Linked DNA regions of Lepisosteus oculatus. The protein of the gene in region 1 purifies or fractionates together with the protein of each later gene. This does not show direct contact. Links are inferred from orthologs where the notes say so. Each region holds a gene or a part of one and is shown on either strand. Other genes may lie near its edges.

Region 1 (8,117 bases):
ACCATCTGTTCAGCAGCTGTATGGTGTGATAACGAACCTATGGACAATCATGTACTTCAGCTCTATCTGTCCTTCAGGTTGCCGGAGCTTTAATTGAGTGTAAACTAAGTGCTGCAATCAACTCCAGATACAAACACCGTGATTCATCAAAGGAAAAGTAAACAAGTAGATTGGACACGAAGCCTCAGTGTGGCAACATTATTTCTCATGACCCGTCTACGTTTGTGTGATACCAGTGGTGAAGACAGAATTTCATCACGATAAGAGTCTTTCTATCTTCAAAGACCACTGAGTGTAAGGCATACTGCTCAAGATCTGATTTTGAACATTATATGCAGTATGTTTATGTACAGTGTGTAGACATACAGAAATCGATGTGACAAGCGTAAAGGAAATTAAAATCTCCCCTCCACCCTTAGTGCACTTTATTGAGGCACAGCAGAGTGACCTTACTCAGTTGCGTTGGCTGTCAATTTGCCTTCATTGTGCCTTGGAAGGATTGGCTTGTTTTTGGAGAAGTAGCTCATTCACTTTACCCACCCTGGTTTCTACTCTAGAACAACAAGGCTGCATTGATGTACAAAGGACTCCTTTATTGCAGTAGAGTGCTGAGACCTGATGAACTCACTCTTCTGGTGACCTGATCTGGACACACCTCAAGTTAAAGACTGTAAAAAGCCTGCTGAATAGTAATCTGCCCAGTTAGGAATATGAACCATTAAAAATAGGGGATCAGAATGAGCAGCAGAGGAGGGATGTGCTAATTTAAAAATAAAAACAACTCATGACAAAAATTGATTTAAAAATAATAAATATAAAGAAAGAAAATATGACCACCAACATTTAAGGTCTGCTGCTGGGATAGCCATTTTAATTTTGTTTTGAACAAAGTAATGTGGATGCTGTTAATCACCCAATAACATAAAAGCTCATAGTCAAAGCCCATTGTATATACTGTATGCGATCACATAACATAATGACTGCATTTGCAAAAGTCCTTGATGTGTGATCAAATACTGGTAATATATTTCTTTGTTGGTAACAATCAGATCATTACATGTTGTTAGGGGAGAATTCACGCATCATTTAACAACGGCCACATTATGCTGCAAACTGGAAACAGACATCTGGACATACATTATTGGAAGCTGACATACAATAGGCTTTCTAGTTTAGACCCACTCACAGCAGAATCTGCTAGCCTCTCATTATTCCTTAAGAATATTTTAGAACCTAAAATAAACTTTATCCAAACCTGTGTTAAGACCCAGGGGCTCCTACAGAAACAGTGTCACAATGATAAATCTGTCAACGTTTGCTCCTGATCAGAAATGACAGGCTCCTGTGAGGACCCACATCTCACGAATTTCCCAACAGTCCTTGGGAAATCAGCCTTCCAGACCTTTTCTTTCATATTCTACTTCTTTATCCTGGATATTTGATCACAGATATTATTTAAGATATGCCTGCATAAAACCTGTTGGTCATACTGTATGTATCAGATCACCTGTCAGTATTTTCTGTACACAGAATAATTACACTTGAAATTTCACCTTTAAACAATATGTTCTTGTGAGAAACATTACATTTTATAATAGAATTTTGTCTACAGAAATAATTTGTAATAATGATTCTCATTTTACAGAAATACACTAAAAATACACTAAAAAATGCACCAAAATAAATGATTAAATGATTAAATGATTAGATTAAACATTTGGAAATGGTAAATTATACCAAACATAAAAAACAACAGCAAATGTCAATTTGTTAAGCGAAAAGCATTTCTTCCCACAACTGTGTGATCATTCTAGATTAGTGAGTATGACTCATACAGTTGTTTTTTTAAATACAAGAATTATTATGCTTAGCATGTATTATAATGTTTACTGTAGATATAGCTATATACATAGATAGATGACAACTATAAAATTATTATTGTAATGCTTTAATAAAGAGACTAGTGAGTGTGCAGTCCAAGAACTGTTTCACTTTATTTAACCTTTGAAACTAAATAAAAATAGCAAATGAAGAAAAACACTAGAATTTTTTTATGCCATATTTTATTCAGATTAACTTAATACAGAATGAATTAATATTTTAAGACAGCAGTGCATTATAATTTCCTTTCAACTTAACGATATGCCTGCATTTTAAACACGTATTTAATAAAGAATAACATTTCAATGCAAGTGTATATACACAGGTACATATACAATTGATTTATGTTATGGAAAATATTAATGTGCAGATATAATTGATACAAAGAATTGATCATTACATTAAAATGGAATGCTATTCTACTTCTATTGTGTGATTTTCAAATAACCATCCACCTTATTAGAAACAATTACTGCATTTCCTAGCCAGAATGTACAGCGTTATGCAGAAATAACAATTTTCCTAACATTCCATTTTAATAATAAAAATAGAAGAATGATATCATGCATGCTAGTTGCTAATAAAGGGCAGTGCCTGCTCAGATCCCCCACGCAGACAAACACACTGCCTTCTGCATGTAGACCTCCAGATCTGTGCAATTAAAACAATTGCAGCACGAAACAGAAAGGCAGGCTCGTGTCTGCATCTTATCCAAACAAAAGATGATAGAGTCGCCTTCCCCGACAAAGCTAACAAGCCAATTCTGCAGTGTGAATGGAGCACAATGGCAGTGTGCATCCCTCTCATCATTAGATAACACTGATACGGCCAGTATATTTCTCCCCGGCAGCATCCCATATTTATCCCCTGAAATGCATACTCACCACATCCGTCTTTTATAAGGAAGGAGGTTGTTTCTGTTGGAGGCAGTCACTCCCAAAGCCATCTGCAGAACAGTCAGATATTTCTGATATTTCATTTTGTCCACCGCTTCTACAATTCCACACCACAAGCCAGCGTAGGTAATCATGCAATTTTTATTCCCTGGCATCCGCCTCTTCTGCGTCTCCCTTGCTCAGCATCAGAACGCCATTTCCAGCATAGAGGAACTGACAGGACAAACACTCCCCAAGGAGCTCAACAAAAGGTGCCACGCTGTAGCGCCCCATGTCAACAATGACACTTTAATCTCATTAGCTCTCAGAATAGATTGCTAATCCATTCAATTACAGGCAGGACCTGAACATTGTTTTTTCGCTCCCAGCACTTTTGCTGAAACTCTCGCAATGCCGCGGCGCTGAACGTCCGTGCGTGAGGTAGGCGAAAGAGAGAGAGGGAGAAAAGATGCAAATGAATAATGTAAAGACCTTTCTTTTTTTCTTTTTCCCCCCCGCCCCACCCCACACACTCCCACCGCAGAAGATGCTCCTGGACAGAAGAGCGCTTGTGTCCTTTTTGGAAAATTAAAAAAAAAAAACAGAAGCAGCTGGTATTTAATTGGTGAGCACGTGCTGGGTCTCCCGAACTGAACTGCTCGCCGCTTGGGAGAAGAAGCAGCGAGCAGAGATGCAACTGAAACCTATCAGAGTTCCCACTTGTTAAGGCATCCACATGTTGACTGAGCTGTGCTGCATCCAGCCGGCGGCTTAAGCACAATAAACATGAAAATAAAGGGAACACAAACTGTACCCCATTCACCACCAGCAGGGGGTAGCACTCCTGACTGGAGAGTCAAATTCCTGGAGCACAAACAAACCTGCATCAAATGCTACACTCTTCAGGGTGTGTGCTCTATTCTTAGCTCCCTTAAAATGGGGAAACAGTATCAACACTGAGAAACAAAAACACAATTCTGTGCCATTTCATCAATGGCCACCAGCTAACCCTTTCGCAATCTGCTTAGTGCTCTCAAACAACCCTTATTTAAATGTGCAGGGCTGTAAACATGGTACAGCAGAGCTGCTCCATAGAAACACAGGCTGAGAGCTGTGAGCTGTGCTAATTGGAAAGAACACTGAGGTCCAGGTACTTTTTTGTTCTTTTTGTTCTACCGCAAAAAAAGGAATGATGAAGGAAAAAGGGAGGAGGCTAATCTGACTTGTAAAATGGATTCCTTTCAAACATGAAAATATATGCGTGAATGTGTGCGACTACAAAAAATACATTTCAGGGGCTAGACATAAATTAATAGACACAATCTCTGCCTTAGGAAAACAGTGACGTGCTCTTGCGCTTCGATACTGAGTCAGACATCTGCATTAACTAATTTACACGTCCGACTTCAAATCGCTGTTGACGGATCCAACAGTGGATTGTGAGATTACCAAGCCAATTACATCTAAGACCAAAATGTTTTTTTTTACGTTAGTAAGGGTACCAATCCCCTCTTCCAATCAGATCAGTTGCAAAACCTGTGCAGAAGTCGTGTTACAGCAACACCACACTGTATCTAAATCTGGTTAGACCTCAGCAGCTGAGGAAGGGTGCTGCTGTAAATGGTGTTGGGACACTCCTCCCTCTGGACCATAAAATGCAAATCAATGCCCAAGTGTAGTCCTTCAGATGAGCTGTTAAACGGAAGCTGTGCCTACTCGGTCTTCAGAACACCCAGGACACTGTTTGTAAGAGTGGGCATGTTTACCCCGGCTAATTCCACTTTGGATTTGCACAATCTGATCTTCCCGATTATTTTCTCCTTAATTGACTTGGTGGAGTATTTTCTCACTTCCCCACCTGATTTGCAGTGCAGCCGGGCTGCTGGAGCAGAGTGGATGACGTGGATCCCCCTTCTGCATGTGAAGTGCTTTGGGATCTCTTTTTGGAAAAGCACGATATAATTCCAAGAGAGAAAATAATGAAACCTGTTCTTCCTATTTCTTTAATCAGGTCCAGGGTGCCTAGAAGAAGAGAATCATCCACAGCCTCAGAGGGCGACAAACCAGAATCAACGACTGAAATCTACAAAGAACTCTTTTCAGAAAAGCAGATAGAGGTGGAAGCAGGCAATGCTTTTCTGGAGAGGCTCAAAGCAAGAGTGCCAGAGGAGGTGAGGGAGGACTTGGAGGGCCCGATTACGGCGGAGGAGCCGAAGTAGGCGCTTTGGTCCATATAGAATGGCAAAGTGCCAGGGCCGGACAGACTCCCCAAGGAATTCTACACCTGCTTCTGGCAGATCTGGTGGAGGTGGAACAGGAGATCTCCACCAGTGAAAACCTGGAGACACCCATGAGGGTATGCGTCATCTCCCTACTCTTCAAGGGGAGGACACCGCAGACCTCAAGAACTGGAGGCTGATCACGATGTTCTGCATGGATGTCAAGATCCTGTCCATGCTACTGGCCAGCAGACTGAGGCACGCCCTGCCCCACATCATCAAGAACAAACAGACGTTAGGAAGAGGATGGAAGGGAGATCAGTCAGCTGGAATCTCCAGCTCCGCAGGGACACATTCGCCTGGGCCGAGGACCGGACTCTCCTCCAGCACAACGCAGAGTGGGGAGTGGAGGAGAGGACCCTTGTGGACCTCAGAGGGAGGATGAAGCGCTACGTTGCCAAATAGGGCTTCTCCACAACGAGGGAGCGCTGGAAAGGACTTTGGGCCCTGTACAGGGAAAAAAGTGCAAATCCCTGTTTGCTGAGCTCCTACTTCGTAGTTTCAGAGTCAGGACAGGGAAATGGACAAAAGCAAGTGGTAGGGCTTGAAGGGACTCTTTCATTGTGCAAATCCAGCCCAATCATCCACTTGCACTGATTGATAAAGTAAGAATTCCATTTTACCAGTACATGTACCGGTTACATATGGCAGTAAAGTTCAAGTTCAAGGTTCCGGCACAACTACCTGGACCTGGTCTCCAGCCACATGGGCTGCTCACATTATATAAACTGTACATATATTTAAAGTGCGTATATATATATATGTACTGATAACAACCAACATCTGTGTAAACATTTTGTGCTTAACATTTTCTATGTTGTAGCTTCTGCAGTTTGAGATTAGGTGGAGATTTCCTTAGGCTGCAACCATCTCAAGCAATTCATTTCCTGCCTGTCATAAATCATATGGTTCTGCCCCATAGCATGATTAATAATCATTTGCAACACAAAGATTATATCTGTAGTTATTACATTTAAGCGATCTTGCACTTTGGGATGAATTGTAAAGAAACGTTTTTTTTCTAATCAATACAGTACAAAACAATAGTGTATAGCTGTAATAATCCTGTCACTTGGTTATTGCAGACAACTACAGCCTAGTTTCCCTATGAAAGGAAGAGTGGAAGACTGAATAGGTTTATTCTCACAAGTGATATCTCTTTAGATTTCACAGCATTTTAAATAATGTTGTAACGCATATGGCCGCTTTTGCAGGTTGTGTGAGCCGGCTTACCAGTGCGGTGACGTCAGCCCACCCCTGTGAAGCAGGACCGCAGCTGCCGGGCTGAGGGGAGATTTCCCTTTAGCTCAACTGGCTGCGCGTTCGAGTCCCCAGCAGTTGGGGACCGACCTGAGGCGGCAGCAGCAAGGGCGCATACCCACATGAACCCGAGAGTGCTACAATATTTATAAGGTAGATGTTGTCAGCTATATAGACACTTACTCATAAAAAACACCATAAGCCTGTAAGATGTTCCTTATTAAATCAATATACTGTATCCAGTATGCCCATGTCACCAGCCATAGTACAGATGTGCCATCCTGATGTGCTGTAAAGACACAGCTAATAAGGAAACAGCCCCTGGCTGCTAAATGTGACAAAATTAAGCTAAGAGAGTTAGAAGATGTTTCTGCTTTCTAGGGTTGTAAAAATGGTCAAAGCCAATCATATACAGTATGACATAACAGATACTGACAATAATAGGTTTCAGAGGTTTCAAAATAATAGAAAAATTAACGGATAATGATGGGAAAAAACATACAGGTTATACCTTTGTCCAAAATACCCTGAACCAAATCTTTAATCTTAATCCTGTGCAACACACAAACAGTGGGCAACTGACAAAGTTCAAGCAGAAATTCGCTCTGTGCCATGTTCTTTCTAACTGCAGCTTTTGCTCCAGGTCAAAATAAATAAAATGCTATCAAGCTCAAATTTCTCAGGACAACCTTTCTTTTTAAATGCTCCTTCACTCCAATATTTCAGAAGCTGGTCTACCAACTAATCCTCCTCCACTGCGCCCTTTTTGGCCCAGGGATAACAGTTCCATCTTCACTGTGCTCCCCTTTACACACACCACTGCTTTCACAGAGCCCATGCGAACGCAGATTATATTTTAGCACTCCTCAAGTATATTTATTGGGTTATATGCAAGTCAATGGACACTGCCCCCACTGCGGGCTAAAGCTGTCCCTGGAGCCCCTGCAGACCTGGGGTTTTACTGGACAGGTCTTGGCACGTTGTGGGCAGACGTTTATTAACCATTCTGTTCAAAAACACAGAACCTGACGCCAGAGCCCGATGGGATGTCAGTGAATCTTGAATCCTTGCAAAACTCCTGTCACTTTCTCCTGGTCTTAGAATCTAACGTCTGACTTTATGATCATTATTTCTTTCACGCATATCGATGATGGCAACAGAAATCTAGTTTGTCAAAAATCTTGACCCCTAGCCAAAGCAGAAAGCATGTACAGTACATGCTCCAAACCGGCAATGAATTTATATCAAATAGCTTTTAGAGATAAAGATTAACTGTGCTAATAGGAGCTAAAGTATGTTTTACCACCATTTCAACTGCTGACACCATTGCAAACCGATGTCTATGACATACAGTACATAAGAGAATCCATGTGGCAGGGAAAACGGAAACATTTTCATGCATGTCTCCATGGAAATTAAACCTCAGACCTATAGGTTTCACTCAGAATCTCATTTTAAGAACCAATTTACTCTCTCCTACAGTGGAGACAGTCCTTTGACCCTCATTCACATTTCACATGGCTTTGCAGTTTTCCAGTTATTCTTCATAAAGAAAATTAACCCTTGATAGAGATTTCACAAATGACATGGCTTCATGGACCTAAAACAATACAAGAGGCATCCGGATTAGAAGTACAAAATCTACAGGGTATCAGACAGTAGAACAAAAAATGGATTATGACTTAAAAAAAATAGCTTATACTTTCTTTGGAAAGATAGGAAACGGAATCTCGTCAGAAACACATTATTGGGGGTTTCACTCTGGTCCCAGCAGCAGACCCCAGCAGGGCAAGGACACAGGGAAAGAGGTGTGGTGCTGCAC
Region 2 (8,228 bases), on another chromosome or scaffold:
TGTAACTTCTGCAAAGCCAGAACAAAGATAGCTAAGGGATACAGAGAGACCATCTACAGATGCTGAAGTCATTTACAAGAGTGACAAGGACCACTGTGGCAGATGTTTCAGTGTACCAGAGTGCGCCAGCAACGTTGCAACGTTCACCAGTACAACGTAGACTGTCCATCACAACTTTGTGCTTTAGAACAAATTCAAAAACTCATTTGAAGGGCAGAGCTACCCTGCAAATTCCCCCCAAATTCTCAAGTTTGAAAAATAAAGCTGCCGTGTCAGTAAATTCTCAGCAAGGACAGCCCAACAGGTGAATTTCCAAACCCTAATGGCTGAAAAAAAACAAACAATAATTGATTGATTGATATTTTAGAACGCAAAAGACAATTGCATACTTTGCAAATTCTGATGATCAGGCTTTTGCCAGCACATAAAAATAAAGTAACACTTTATTTTAAGAGTCTCCTATAAACCATGTCTTAATCCTTTATGAGTAACACACTAGCACTTCAATGGATAACGTCTATATAAACGTTAGCTAGGTACTTTTGTGAGTTACCCGTGAGGTGACTGTCATCAGTAATAGGAATTGTCTGCCATTGTATTGTGCTTTTCATCCTTATTATTTGTGAAGTCAAAAGTGACTTAAAGACAGTACAGTAGGGACACTTTATCCATTACTGAATTACAGGACCCATCTGGGTGGATGACACACTGTCGAACCCAGTACAAAGCACAGGAGTAAGATATTATTTCACCTACTGAATTAATACATTTATGTAAGAGATTGTGCAATCCCAAGGTGAAATTCAGCACACATATATGTGCCAAGTTTCCCTGATATATAAAAAGGTATGTATTAGTCATTTACTAGCACTCAAGTTTTATTTCAGCAGAAAAGTAGTAATCTATAGCTGCAAAGGAATAGGTTTATTCCATGAATAATAAATATGAATAAAACACAGCTGCAAGTAATAGGTTTATTCCATGCTGAAAAGAGAAGAAAGAAAACACAATGTTTCAGCTGTGGAGCCTTCTTTAGGTGTAATACATAGCTTACAGCTGACCTCTAAAAACACATTCCAAAATATTTTAACATTTCTGCATTAATATAGTCTTTGAATTTTCAAACCACAGTATATTGCATTTTTCCACTGACTAAACAATGTTCTCCTACTTTTCCATGAACACAAAACTATTACCACTGTCCATATAACCAAAATCCTTAATGTGGACATTTTAACATTCCACAGTGTTTATGTTTTAAAATAATTCTACAGAAGTAGGAATTTGATATTTCATATAATGAAAGAAAAATTAAATATACAATTTTTAACACATCTGTGAGGAACAGACACACAGTAACGTATTAAGGTTTGTACCAGAAATTATGCGTCAGACATTTACTCTTCTTAGTGTTTGAATTGGTGTACAGAAACTAAACATTTATTATTTAACAATCTGAAACGGGAAAATATATATATATTTTTTAATAAAAGCTAACGCATGATCATCATATCTAAACACTGTGTTTTTTGTGAATACCGAGCGCGAAGGATGAAAAGGTGTGGTTGTATCTGGGTTATGTTGCAAAACCCGAAAACTAAAAGTAAAATCTTCATAAAGCTAATCAGGATCTGAGAACGCTCTCTAGGCGATAAAAATATGAATTACTGCTCAACATAAAACAGCCCTCCATAAGATAACACAAATAAACGTTTGTAACGCAATTCACTAAATGAAAGGGAGTTAAAAGGGTATGCGGATCTCCAATTACTAAAAATGTACACTTTGAACTGGGAGAGATCTAAGAAACGCAATTAATATCAAATAAGCTTTAAGTTGTCCAACTGGAAATTTGGTAGTTTCGAACATGTGGTTTTTCTACCGTCAGTTTTAATTTCGATTAGTCATATTCGATCCGTTGTTTTGACACTACAAGCTTATTAGAATATTCTTCTTTAGGAATGAGATCTCGCAAATAATATTGAGAACTGGCAAATTTCTCTGGCGTAATTATAGGCAACTCGTGTCAACAAATAGCTTAAATAAAGTTTTCGACATTTTTCAATCACTGAACAAAAACCGAATAAATCAGGTAACAAACCTCAGAAACAGGTTATTTCATATCTGCTCCAGTTTATAATGCGAAGCCGTTTTATTCTTTAATATGTAGTTCAAAAGCTCAATTAAAAATGAGGAGAGGCAACGTGAATAACCCCGTATGGACATTAAGTTTGTGAAACCTACCCATTTTTAAAATACTGTATATGTTCGGTTCGCCATACAAAACACCATTCAGATTAACCAGGTTTGAACAGAACAAGAGTAGGCAGTTTTATTAAGATTAATACGATGACGTTAGTTTATTAAAACCCGCCCAGTCTCTATCATACCTGAAGACAAAACACCTGTGCAAAGAAACTAAAACAGAAATTCGTCCATTGCGCAACGTTTTCAGGTGTACGTTTGAAATAAACCTGAAACAAATCGTTTCTGAAACGAGGAAAATCATGTTTACATTCTCTCAGAACACAACCAGCATTTTCAGTGGTGCCTCCGACAGGAAAACGACCATTTTACCGAGTTAAATTATAATCGTCTACGGCAAGGCAACTTTACAATTAAAAAAATAATAATTCGCTGCAGTATTTTGACCTGTTTTTTAAAAACGGAACATTTTTTCTTCTCTTATCTCAATTGAAAAATCAACCTTACTAGGTAAAGAACATGAAGAAAATATTACAACAACGTGGAGAAAACGCCACCGGCAATAGAAACAACAAAAACAAAACACCCGCAGATGTACTTCTCTGATGTTAACCTACTAAACAAGACAAAATATAAGTATAAAATACGTGTTGTACGTATACTCGTAACAATATATAAGCAATAAACTTACCAAACCTCTTCAGTATTTCCACACCTGCCTTGTGTCTGCTAAAACCCGTATGCCAATACTGGCGCAGGACACACCTTGCTCTCAGAGACTCACAGGACTGGTGCTGCTCCTGTCTGCAACGTCATTGGTGATCCCGAAACGGTTCTCTGTTCAGCATCAAATAAACCTTTACTTGTTCCTCATTGGTGATGTCAGGCTTGATTTCCACCCCGCCGTAGACCAAACCTGGATTCATAACAAAGCACACCAACCGGTTCCCCTGGTAGATACTGGCAGGTTAACTTTCTGTGCGCGTAGGTGGAGTGTTTTTGTCGGAGATATTTTTTAGACTACCTGTAATTGCAGGATTCAGTACCTCTAATTAACACTCCTCAATTACACAGCTGAATAACTGTGCTGGTTAAGAATAGAGAAAACGATAAAAGCAACGAAACCGTAATCTGTACTGGTACCGGGAGCCCTAGGCATTTTAACTCTATAATGTGAAATCGATAGAAACAATCGTGTCAGATTTTCAAGATGGCAGCCGTCCACTTGTCACATTCCTGTTAACATATTTTCATACATGAGAAACATGCTCGTCACTACGTAGGTTTTAATACATTTGATCTGAATGTTTATTCGAAACACTCCCTTCGATGCGCAGTCGTTTGGTTGCTGTAGTGGTGAAGTAAACTTTCATGAACGTCTTTCTTCCCGTTGCCACATCACGAGACAGAAACTACTCTCTTGCTGACAACTGCAGAAAAAGTTTTAACCAGCAAAACTGGGAACCTCTGATTGTGATCTTACAGCAACCTGAGCTGGACTACTCAAATTGAGAGTTTGTATTTTTGCGAAGATTAAGAGTGAAGTTGGAAGGGAATGCTCGTCTTTTACCGTGCTATAATCGAGAGCGTGGATTGCTCATGTATTGGTCCAATTAAGATAAAAAAAAAGTCACCCGTCTTGTCCAAACAGCAAAGATTATGAGAGTAAAGCAGCATCTCTTGCAGACGATATTTGAACAATCCAAGATTTTACAGGTGGAAAAATTATATCAAATCATTTTCCTGTTCTTAATTCTCGTAACTTCTTCTTTCCGGAAAACGTTTTAGGGTTCCAAAAATGTAGATAAAATAGATATAATAATAATAATTGTTTTCACTTACATAGCGCTTTACAGGTAATGGGGACTCCCCTCTACCACCACCAATGTGCAGCATCCACCAGCATCTACAAATATGTATTTGGATTGTAATTGTATCTAAGAAAGCAGTTAACATAAATACATGGAATTACAATTCAGAATAATTTATTAAATGAAATCCAACTGATCTGATCCAATTCCAAAACAGAGGTGTTTATACTGAACTCTTATGTGGTAGGCCCCCCTTTTGTGAACAGGACCAGAGGGTCTTTAAGGACCAAAAGTCAGGATCTTGTCTTAATGTCTCAAATGAACAACGATTGTACATCTGCTGGTCCACCAACACGACTTACCAATGATCCAGCTTGACAGTGTGGAAAGTTGCCCTGGGGTATTTGTGTGGTATTATTCTATACAGTATCAACTCCTCCCTCGCTCTGCATCCGAACAATATGCCGCTGAAGCAACATAGACTAGCTGAGCTTCACAGCAAAGAATGCATTTGATAACTGCAAAACAGGACATGACTACCGTGACAGTTAAATGGGACAACAAATCAGCATGTATTTGCATCTGGAGAACTTAAAGGCAGTAGAAATGTACAGTAACACCATTGTTCCAGTCTGTGTGGTTTGCAATCCATCGTAATAAGATAGTCAAATAATTTCATGAAGGGTTTTGATAATAAATTTACTGACAAGTTGTTTACGCAATTTTGTAAGAAAAAAATAGTGGCATTATTAAAAATGATATTTGGCTAAAAGCTTTAAAAAAACCATCAGTTATTAATTTTTCACACCTGTACATCAGAGAATCTCACCCATAATTGATTTAAATATAGGACCCAATTCCACTCTGCGGCCAGCTGAGTAAAAACAAAGCATGGATAGCAGAATCCTAGATTCAGTACATGTGTTGTGGAGAAAATGGTGCTGAGGACATAGAAATAATTCTTAAGATAGATAAGGACATGTGGCTTTTCGTATTCGTATTTTCGCTTTTCGACATGTGGCTTTATTGTATATAGCGCCTTTAAAAGTGGGTTCTCAAAGCACTTTATAGAACAATAAAAACAAAAATGAAAAAATATAACATATACAGTACACACTGAGAATACACAATGAGAGGAGACAGTAGATGGAGGTACTGAGTACAGCAGGAGCAGAGGGGTGAAGAACAGAACCAGTTAAGTAAAGGCTCTTCCAAAAAAGAAGGGTTTTGAGGAGTTTAGAGAAGGTGACTCTCTGATATTCCTGGGGAAAGAGTTCCAGAGCTTTGGGGCATAACAGGAGAAGACCCTGTCACTCAGAGTGTAGATGGGCTTGGGGGACAGGTAGGAGACCACAATTAGAAGAGCGAAGGTTGTGAGGTGAGGAGTAGGGCTATAGTAGCTCACACAGGTACTGAGGTGCCAAGCCATGCCAAGCCTTATGTCAGGAACTGATAGGTTGAGTAGGAGGATCCCATGCGATGCCGTGAACTCTGCGGAATGCAGAGTAGCACTAGAACTTAATCCGAGGCATGGATTCCTGAGGCTAGGTCGGGAGAAGTAGCAATGAGTCAGGTTACCAGGGTAATCCAAACGAGGGCAAGAAATCCGAGAAGCAGTATCCAAGTAGTGAAGTTGATAAGGGAAGAGTTTAGTCCAGGAACTGTGAAAATCAGTAGAGAACTCTAAGGGAAGCTTCTCCATCGTGTGCGTGGGTTGGTAACTGAGGGAAGCTTGAATACTGAAGGGAGAGAGATGTGGTTGGATAATTGGTTCAGGAGTGAAAGTCTGTGGAATCGGATGCATGTGTGAATGTGGTGGTTTCCGTGGGAATGAGTGTGTGAAACAGTGGGTTTGGGAATGCCATGGCGTTTGCGAGGAGAAGTGTGGGATTTGACACCTTATAGGTGAGCATGGGGATTTTGAAGTCGACATGAAACTTGACAGGAAGCCAGTGCAAGAACTCCAGGATTGGAGTAATGGGATCACTTGCACTAGACCTGGTCAGGATTCTGGCTGCCAAATCTTTGGACACACTGGAGTTTTTTGTTCAGTGTGGATTTAGAAACCCCAGCGCGTAGAGCATTACAGTAGTCGATCCGGGAGAAGACAAATGTGTTGATCAGCTTTTCAGCCACAGGTAGCAATAACATAGGACATAGTCTAGCGATATGTTTGAGGTGAAAGAAAATGTTTTTGATATGTTGCACGTGTGGGTCGGATGTCTAGCCTGAATCAAATATCACCCCCAAATTTTTCCATTTAGACTGACGTTCAAGTACAGCCTTGGCTTTACAAAGCTGATGGGGGCGCCAATAAGCATGACATCAGTCTTGTCACAGTTTGACGAAGGACATTTTGAGACATCCATGTTTTTGATGGCGGAGATGCGATTAGACAGAAAAGAGACAGCCAGGTCAGTGTCAGGTTTGGTATGGATGTAGATTTGAGTAGCTTTGTGTAAAGAGGTACTTCCTGCTTAGCAACCAATCCACATTTCTTTAAAATCTTTGCCAAGACTCTTTATTTGACAAAAAGCTAGGGAGGCATTAAATATATGTGGGGAAAAGACTATGCTGATCATTTCTATATAGTACTTCACGTTTAAGGCAAACATTTCTTAAGTGACTGTGGGGAATCTTTCTGTGGTATTCAAAAATCAGACTGAGCTGAACTTTAGGTAAAGTAAACCAAAAACCCCTGAAAAATATGTTTTTAGTGAAACAAATATAAGGCAAGTCCAGTATGAAAACATCTCTACAGAAGTATTTATCGATATTCTACTATATCTACCACACACTGTTTGTAGTCAAAATGTAGAAGTTTATTTACAAGTTAGTTTACAAAACACAACAAGACAGGAGTGGCTGCTGTTGAACATTTCTTGCAATGCCAAGGTGCGATTATGTTTCAATAACAGTAGGCTACCACAAAAACAACACAGAAAGCATCTATTTAAGCAGAACCGAAAAAAGGACTTTCAGCAACACGGGCAAAGCAAGAACACCGCCAAGCAAATGCTTTGAAATTTGCTCTCAGTACTGTAATGGTAGGCAGTCTGTTGAATGCCAGTCTTCTGCTACATCAGCGATCCTCACTTGTTGTAAGACACAGCTCTGTGTTTCAGAGGGAGCTCACACACTCACCAGTGAATAGAAACGTGGAAACCGTTTGTTTTAGTAGATATTAAATCAATGCTTGATTCAACTAACTAATTAAGAGCTTTGGTAGAGTGAACATCAGTGGAGACTGTGGCTCATGAGGCCCTGAACTACACAACACCAGTAGGACCAAGGGTGGGGTGATCTGAGTTCTCTGTAATTGTGTAGCTCTTCGGGTCCACCAGGGCTGGTTCGATTCAGGGATTTCCAGTCCTGGTTCTGGGGACGCCTGTAACGAACAGTTCTTTCCGGACCCTATGCAGATGACACAATCCGACGGAGTGGGGAAACACTAGGGAAACGTCATGCAGGAATACGGGGCAGAAGACAGGGGGGCGTGTCCACGGTGCGCTGGTGCACAGGGGAGTGTGGCCGAGGCGAACAATCCGAGAGAGTAGTCCTTAGGGAATATCCAAAACACACGAGAAAGTCCAAAACCAGAAGATCCATCAGAACAAGTTAAAAACCATGAAGGCCGGGTCGGAACCGGAATGGGAACGGAGGTTAAAACCTTAACGGGACCAGGCGCTTCCAGGTCCCGGACTCGCACGATATGGAAATCAGATGCAGAGCCCGGAAGAGCGTCAGCGCCTGGCTTTTAAGGTGGGCTGGGAATAGGGAGCAGGTGCATAGAATAGAGTCTTTAGTGAAAGGGCTGGAGCACCCTTAAGGAGGGGGAACTAATATCGTGACAACGCCAACACCTGCTGGTATTCATTGCAGCTGAGCCGTTTGCTTGACTGAATTCATAACTGAACCAATGGGTTGCCTGGTTCATAAAACATACACAAGTTTTCTTTCAGGCCATTTCAAAGAAACAGGTAAAGGTTCACTCCATGCTGAAAGATAAAGAAAAGAAACACAACGTTTCTGCTGTGGAACCTTCTTAAATCTGCGCTCGTCAGCTAACGGTACTTTCAAGAGGCCTAGAGAACCTGGAGACACACAGGCCCTCCTGTAACAGGACTGGGGACCCCTGCCTTAGACAGGTGTCTTGTAAAGTGTTGCTAGGACTCCAAAGAAAGAGGACGGTGTTAGTTTTATGTGTTTTTT

The links.
Region 2: the proteins of tjp1a (region 1) and occludin purify together in Homo sapiens (affinity purification with western blotting; 4 studies listed by BioGRID and IntAct, with this or other methods). This does not show direct contact. The link is inferred for Lepisosteus oculatus from reciprocal best matches to the Homo sapiens genes TJP1 and OCLN.

Annotation. Positions count from the first base shown.
Region 1 is NC_090700.1:47,024,857-47,032,973, forward strand, and holds the start of tjp1a (tight junction protein ZO-1), read right to left. Parts: upstream 3,202-8,117; 5' UTR 2,933-3,201; coding exon 2,766-2,932; intron 1-2,765. UniProt on the Homo sapiens protein: TJP1, TJP2, and TJP3 are closely related scaffolding proteins that link tight junction (TJ) transmembrane proteins such as claudins, junctional adhesion molecules, and occludin to the actin cytoskeleton.
Region 2 is NC_090698.1:67,186,948-67,195,175, reverse strand, and holds the start of occludin, read right to left. Parts: upstream 3,195-8,228; 5' UTR 2,897-3,194; intron 9-2,896; 5' UTR 1-8. UniProt on the Homo sapiens protein: May play a role in the formation and regulation of the tight junction (TJ) paracellular permeability barrier.